2 linked regions of the Daphnia pulex genome follow. The protein of the gene in region 2 purifies or fractionates together with the protein of the main gene of each other region. This does not show direct contact. Links are inferred from orthologs where the notes say so. Each region holds a gene or a part of one and is shown on either strand. Other genes may lie near its edges.

Region 1 (2,965 bases), on a different chromosome or scaffold from region 2:
CGTCGAGATGATGTGGATTCTTGAGTGGTGGAGTGGAGAGGAAATTGATTGCGGAGCTTTAACCGCAAGTCATAAAGAAACGGTTCAGAATGAGTTTTAAGTAAGATTGTGATAGCGTACGTAAGGACGCGAGAACGAGTCTTGACTGGGAATTTTTTCAATCCACTATTTTTGAGCGGGACGCCGTAAAGTATGTCGGCCATACTTGATCGCACTTCTACCACTGGGTTCTTGAAAGAAAATATGGTGTCTAAGAACTGAGCGTCGTTGCGGAAGGTATTTTCGTCCAGCTTCCACAAATTGGCCGGCGACAAAATGATGCAGCTGAATTCGGGTAGAAGATGTTGAAACGAACGAGCTCTAGGGGCCACACTCTCCACGTAAAGGCAAACATCTCTAAGAGTCAGGTTACTCCTAGGTGAATGGAAACCCACTACATCAGAATGCAGCTTGAAGACTTCACTCAATGGGCCTCGAAAAGCATCCATCATGCCCAAATCAGACGTCCATGGATTGACAGAGGACCGTACAACTATTTGTTGTATGAAAAAAGATGGTTGCTGAGTTCCCCATCTGGTTGGATACTGAAAGCTTTTTCCAAATTCAAGATCAGAAGAGATTCTTTTCTCTGGAAGCGGGAAAGATATCTCCTCTGGTTCATTGCCTGGAAAAGGCAAGGACAATAAAGGATGACACGAAGTGAGAACAATAATAATTGCCACTATGATTGTGCACCAGGGGTAGCTAGAACACAGAAGGCCATGTTTGTAGTAGAGGAGTGCTACCCTGTCGGGTATACTCAGGCCTTTGGTGCTTGAATTCAGTCCACTTCCATTAGCAAGTCCAGCCGAATCAACATCTTTGACGGCGGGATGATGACCAATTTGTGGCTCAACAAAAGGCATGTTTGAGTAAGTCCAAAAATATTAAAACAAACTGTAGACGACGAATAGTGAATAAATTTCACGACATTTCGCCACACTTTCCAGTATTGGCAATATTGGGAATGACCTCCGAGAGCAAACGTTTCTCCTAAACAAGAAAATCAATATAATAAGAGATTTTTTAATTTAAAACCGGCTGCAGATTCAATTTTAATCTCTATTTACCTGTCGAAAATGCCCAAAAAAGAAAAACATGTCAACTAAAGATCAATGCCTTGACACAACTGGAGCGTCTAGTGCAGAAAATTGTAACGTGGTGGTGGAATTAAACAAGAAAAGAAATAATACAGTACCTACCAGAGTTGTCCTAAAATTTGTTTACAAAAATAGTTAAATTAGTAAAATTCGTTTGCCAATATGTTTTATGGTTATTAAGTTATTTAGTTTTAAATATTGCCGATTCCGCAATAGTTCACTCAGCCGCCGCCGCGCACACAACTAAACATTTATCGGTATCGCTAGATGCCGTTACTAGTTCTGTTTACTTGTAGTTATTCGCATGTTATTCGTTTCGCGATTGCGTTCGTTATTAGTCGGATAAACTTGTCAAAGTGTTGAATTGTAAGAATGACTTCCAAAGGGATCGAAAATGTGAATCCACAGTTATTTACGAAGAAGACAAAAAGAGAAATAACAAGTGAAGAAGAAGATGAATCAGTAGAGGATCCCATAGATGAGAGGGAAATATTCGGTAAAGACTTTCGCACTTGCGTAATACATCATTAAACAAATTCGCTTATCTCTCCATAATTATAGATTTGCTAAGGGATATCAATGATCCTGAGCATCCTATGTCACTTGAAGAACTGAATGTTGTACAAATCACGAATATAGAAGTAAAATATGAAATGTCTGATTTCACACAAAATCATTACCTCTATTTCCTTTATGTATGTACAGGTTGATGACAAAAAAAGCAGTGTTAAAGTCTTTTACACTCCAACAATCCCTCATTGCAGCATGGCAACTTTAATAGGACTGTCCATCAAAGTGTGTCTTCTCAGGTCTCTACCACCTAGGTTCAAAGTTGAAGTAAACATTTCCCCAGGTTCACATGCTTCAGAGGAAGCTGTTAATAAACAGCTAGCTGACAAAGAAAGAGTCTCAGCCGCTTTGGAAAACAGCAATCTACTTGAAGTTGTTAATCAATGCTTAGTAAAAAGTTTGGAATAATAACCATTTGATCAATACATTATGGATGAAAATGCAGTTTATTTTGATGGAACACATTCAAATCTATTCAGTGACAATTACTTTACATTGTCCCTGTTCATTTACATTCAATTAGAACCATGAAAGTTGTAAACTACTTTAAACCACTTTGCTTCATTTGAGCATCTTTGGACCCCAATTATGTCATTTAAAATATTTACCTAAAAACAAAAAGAAAAACACATTGCTTTTAAAAATAAGATGATCCAGTACTCTCAACTGCAGGGAACATTTCATTGCAGAAGCCAGAATTCTGGTCATTCAGTTTGAACGTGCGACCTGGGACGAAATCTTGGCGTTTCTTCTTTTTGTGAATCCAGTGCTTAGTTCCCGGAATGCTTTCGCGCTTCTGCACAGTGTAACTAAACAACACAGGGATGTTAAGTTAGTTCGACGCTGAAAAAATAATTGTGACACTCACTCTATGTTGAATTCAGCTTGGCCCATACGCAAGCATAAAAGAATTCCGTTAGCAAAGCTAACATCATTGACGAAATCGACCCGAGATTCAGCACCCACAGTGAAATCAACAGATGATTTAACAAACGGCGTGTTTAAATTTAATGACCCCTCTAGCTCCCATGCAGCGCTGAAATGAAAATATGAGTTTTATCATTATGATCAGAAATCCAGTCTGTAAATTGACTTACATATCTTCGACAACTGAATGAGAATTTCTGTTCCAAATACTGATTTGGATTTCGCCACCAAAATCAAAAGAGACAGAACCACGCACGTCGAGTGTAGTAACAAAACCACTTTGGAGTGGTACGACATTACGATAATCCTGAAGCAGCACAGTAGCCTGT
Region 2 (4,031 bases):
AACATTAACACGGCGCTACATGAATCGGTAAAAGAAATGGTCAATATAGTCAGAATCTTTTGTTTTCCTATTATTTTTCATACCGTCCAAGATGGTGGTCAAAATCAATTCCTTCAGAGACTTTACCCCGTGCGACTGAAAGTAGTACAGCTCCTCGTCCATTATCACAAGCCTTCACTCGATTAAACAGATCGATTCAGATTAAACGAAAATCTTTAGACTAGAGGAATTAATTACTTTTAGAAACGAAACGTACTTTGATGTAGTTAATCAGCGCCAAACTCGTTTCTGCTGCGTCTTGGGTTTCGATAAAGAGGAGCTTGTGTCTTTGCAATTGATCGATAATGCCCTGATCGTACCAAGACGACACAATTGTTTCCAGGTATAGGTAGCTGGTGAAGAAGCAAACAATCCCATCGGGTACAGCGGCCGCTACTTCAACCAACAAATTTCCGTAGTTGCGAATAACGGCGGTGTCCTCACGAGTTTCGTATCGCGATGACATGGCGACCTGGTCGTTACCTTTCGATACGATCTATACTTAAAATAAGAATTTTAGTGTTACGTTAACATTTATGAAAAATGAGGCATCTACTACCATTGGCAGAATACAGGGTCTCGCCAAAGTCATAGTAAATGAGGTCATTATGACTGGATGGAAGTCGAGGATTTTCGGATACATATCAAGCGGTGAAAGGGTTCCTGAGGTGATGACGACAGTTTGGAAACGATTGAAAACTGGTTTGATGGCAATAGATGAATCTAAACAGCTGTAAAATGTACTAGCATTAATCACTGTTGGTCTTTGCGTGTTCTATATTCACATACCTGAAATATAAAATTGGGTTGGAAACTGTAGGTGCCCGATCTTCAAACGGTTCAATGATGATGGTGAATCTAAAATAGTAAATTACTTTTAGATATTTTTTCACCATTTTATCACTGTAAATAAAGATATTAACCCTTTAGTATATGTCGAGACCAATGTAGCAAAGTGAGAAACGGTTACAAGAGGTGAGAAATCCGTCAGGTCGGATATTTCAAGAGTGCGAATGAGTGAAGATAAACGCTCTGCGGTGAATCTGGAAAGTTTATCAACAAAATAGGTAAAATAATAATTTGTGCGTGTGAAACTGTATTTTTATATACCTTAGAGGTTTCCTATCGATACACACTTTAATGTGAATATCTCTCAAGAAACCGGCGGGACTCTCTTGAACGACGTGCTGGACGCGGAGTCGAGTTTTGATGTACTCTACTACTCGCTTCAAAAAGGCCACGAAGTGCTCAGCAGTACGGATCGTTCCAGGGACGGCCTCTATAAATGAAAGAAATGTTAAAATGGCCCGAACGGATACTTGTGAATAAATACAGACCTTCTAAAATTTCAGAAGGTAAAACCGGGTTAACTAAAGCCATGTCAGTTTCTCTCGCTATGTTAGCATCTCGCAATCCTTCAACTAGCCTTTGGTATTCCTTCTCCAACCTTCTGTTGTCATTTTCTTTCATGCTAAAGAGTTAAAAAAGTTAACAACTCTGAAATTAATCATGCACATCCAGTTGTGATTACTTTGAAATGGTGGTTTCCAGAATTTGAATGCTATTGGAGCATTTATCCAGCAGACGTTTCGTTATCTTGACGCTCATCGAATCTATACAGACATTATCTAGAAAAACCAATATTTAATTAGTAGGGCAATTTTAAGAGGTTACGTTTCAGTAAAATTACCAATATTGTGGGCTTCATCAAAGACAACGACGCTAGTTTTTGAAATTTCCTTGGAAACGACTTCTGCAATCTTGGGATCAAGTAAGTAATGATAGCTGTACACCACAATGTTGGCGTGAGTTATCTATAATTTAAATTTGGTATTAATTTGGTTGTACAATATTTTATAAATGTCATGATCTAACGGTGTATCGGGCAAGAAAATAAGGACACCATCCTTTGGCCTGTCCATATTCCTTTAAATCGTCCAGGTTGTACACCCCAGGAGGCAGCGGAAATTCTTTTCCATGAGCATCGAATCCTTCATAAAAGTTGCATACTGGCACAGCGTCATCACCTGCATGACGAGCTCTTACAAACGATGCCGTGAGACCGTAACAGCGCCCGTCGACTACTTTTCCTTCTCTCTCCTTACTGACCTGTTATGTAATTGTGTTGTTGATTAACCATACTTTTAAATCTTTTTACTATTTAATTCATATTACTGAGGGGTGAATGCAGAGATTCTTTCTGGAGCTAAGTGCCAAGCCAAGAATGTTTTGTTCCATGCCCATCTCTTTTTCGTAGTAATTCATTAATTTTCGCAATTCTTCCATAACCTTTTCAATTTCAGGAACAGTTCTTGAACAGTAGACTAGTTTGGTTAAATCAAGGGGGTGAGCCTTCATGTAGGCCACAATTAATGATAGCAATGTTGTTGTCTTCCCCGTTCCAGAAGGCATTTCCAATAAACAGTGACCCTGAATTGATCCAACATCAACAGATATTTATGTAATTTCAAGTTATACTAGTATTGGACGATACAACATACTTTTGCATCGAGAGCATGTTTCAGTTCGAGCATGTATGAAAACTGCTCCGGGTATATGTAATCGTAAGGGAAGTAGACGAGGAGTCCATCAACATTTAATCTATGAACATGTAAATAAATTAAATGTGGTCTCTGAATTGACAAAAGTGCGGGATTTACTTCATTTTTGTACGAGAAAGTTTACAACAACATGCACATAAAGTTGCTTGCCACTTGTTCTTCTTCAAATTTCTAGCAGACTAATTTTCCTTTTCACGTGTCGATAATGGTTACCAATAGATGGCGCGTAGTCAAGGCAACCAATTTGTTGTTTAAAAATATTTGTTGCGATTAGTTTTTTTAAACGATCTCATGGAAAGATATATTGTGAACGGCAGGATTGGGGAAGGGGCACACGGGATCGTTCTTAAAGGTATTGACAAGTCCACAATGAAACTGGTCGCCATGAAACGGATAGCGTTGAAGAACATTAACGAGCAGGGATTGCCGAACTCGGCTGTTCGTGAATTGCTGGCTCTTCGCCTGATCCGCCATGAATATGTAGTGAACCTAGTGGACTATTTCCCACAAGGATATTCGCTTGTGTTGGTCTTTGAATATTTACCAATAGATCTCTACGAATTTTTGCGCTCCAACTCCAAACCTTTGCCGACGAGTCACGTGAAAAGCTGTACCATATTTACATCTCTACAATCAGATTTTAGGCATTCAAATAACCAATATGCAATCCTTTCCATTTAGACATGTGGATGCTAGCCAGCGCTGTGGAATATATTCATAGTTTGGGTATTATGCATCGGGATTTGAAGCCGGCCAATTTGCTGATTGGTTCCCGAGGCGAACTGAAAGTGACCGATTTCGGATTGTGTCGTACGTTCAATCATTCCGAAAAGGCTCAAAGATTATTCACACATCAGGTGGCTTCGCGGTGGTACAGAGCACCGGAACTGCTCTATGGTTCTCGCAACTATGGCAAGTTTCATTTTAATTTAAAAATGCCATGTTAATTCTAACACCTTTTTCACAACAGGACCGGAAGTCGACCTATGGGCTATGGGCTGTATCTTTGGTGAAATGTTGAAGAATTCTCCCCTTTTTCCGGTAAATAATGGCCAATGTTGTCAATATAATATGTTGTAACAGTATCCGGATTTCCATCAAACCCTAGGGAGAAAATGACATTGGCCAACTGTGCACAGTCATTCAAGGTCATTAACAATACGGTAATCATAATCAAGGTGAATGGCATTAACTCTTTTGTGGGTAATTACATAGTACTAGGCACTCCAGACGAAGAAAATTGGCCAGGTGTATCAGCATTGCCAGATTTCCACAAAATTTCATTTACCAAAACTCGGAAACAAATCTCCTTTAAGAAAATCCTGATTGATGTAGACGAATCATCACGAACGATGCTGGAACAATTTCTTCGCTATTGCCCCCAATCACGAATAACAGCTAAACAGGTCATTTCTAATCTTCTATCTTTTA

Evidence for each region.
Region 1: the proteins of general transcription and DNA repair factor IIH helicase subunit XPD-like (region 2) and cytosolic iron-sulfur assembly component 2B-like purify together in Homo sapiens (affinity purification with western blotting; 3 studies listed by BioGRID and IntAct, with this or other methods). This does not show direct contact. The link is inferred for Daphnia pulex from reciprocal best matches to the Homo sapiens genes ERCC2 and CIAO2B.

The regions. Positions count from the first base shown.
Region 1 is NC_060019.1:10,900,186-10,903,150, forward strand, and holds cytosolic iron-sulfur assembly component 2B-like, read left to right. Parts: upstream 1-1,389; 5' UTR 1,390-1,511; coding exon 1,512-1,635; intron 1,636-1,700; coding exon 1,701-1,780; intron 1,781-1,844; coding exon 1,845-2,117; 3' UTR 2,118-2,153; downstream 2,154-2,965. Other genes in the region: sterol regulatory element-binding protein cleavage-activating protein-like, read right to left, coding at 1-905; microsomal triglyceride transfer protein large subunit-like, read right to left, coding at 2,347-2,518, 2,578-2,745, 2,807-2,961.
Region 2 is NC_060017.1:8,164,268-8,168,298, reverse strand, and holds the start of general transcription and DNA repair factor IIH helicase subunit XPD-like, read right to left. Parts: upstream 2,801-4,031; 5' UTR 2,705-2,800; coding exon 2,700-2,704; intron 2,641-2,699; coding exon 2,541-2,640; intron 2,470-2,540; coding exon 2,215-2,469; intron 2,149-2,214; coding exon 1,915-2,148; intron 1,854-1,914; coding exon 1,730-1,853; intron 1,668-1,729; coding exon 1,571-1,667; intron 1,511-1,570; coding exon 1,377-1,510; intron 1,319-1,376; coding exon 1,150-1,318; intron 1,083-1,149; coding exon 963-1,082; intron 898-962; coding exon 829-897; intron 771-828; coding exon 599-770; intron 536-598; coding exon 257-535; intron 173-256; coding exon 84-172; intron 16-83; coding exon 1-15. Other genes in the region: cyclin-dependent kinase 20-like, read left to right, coding at 2,892-3,210, 3,282-3,512, 3,571-3,641, 3,709-3,748, 3,816-4,006. UniProt on the Homo sapiens protein: ATP-dependent 5'-3' DNA helicase. Component of the general transcription and DNA repair factor IIH (TFIIH) core complex, not absolutely essential for minimal transcription in vitro.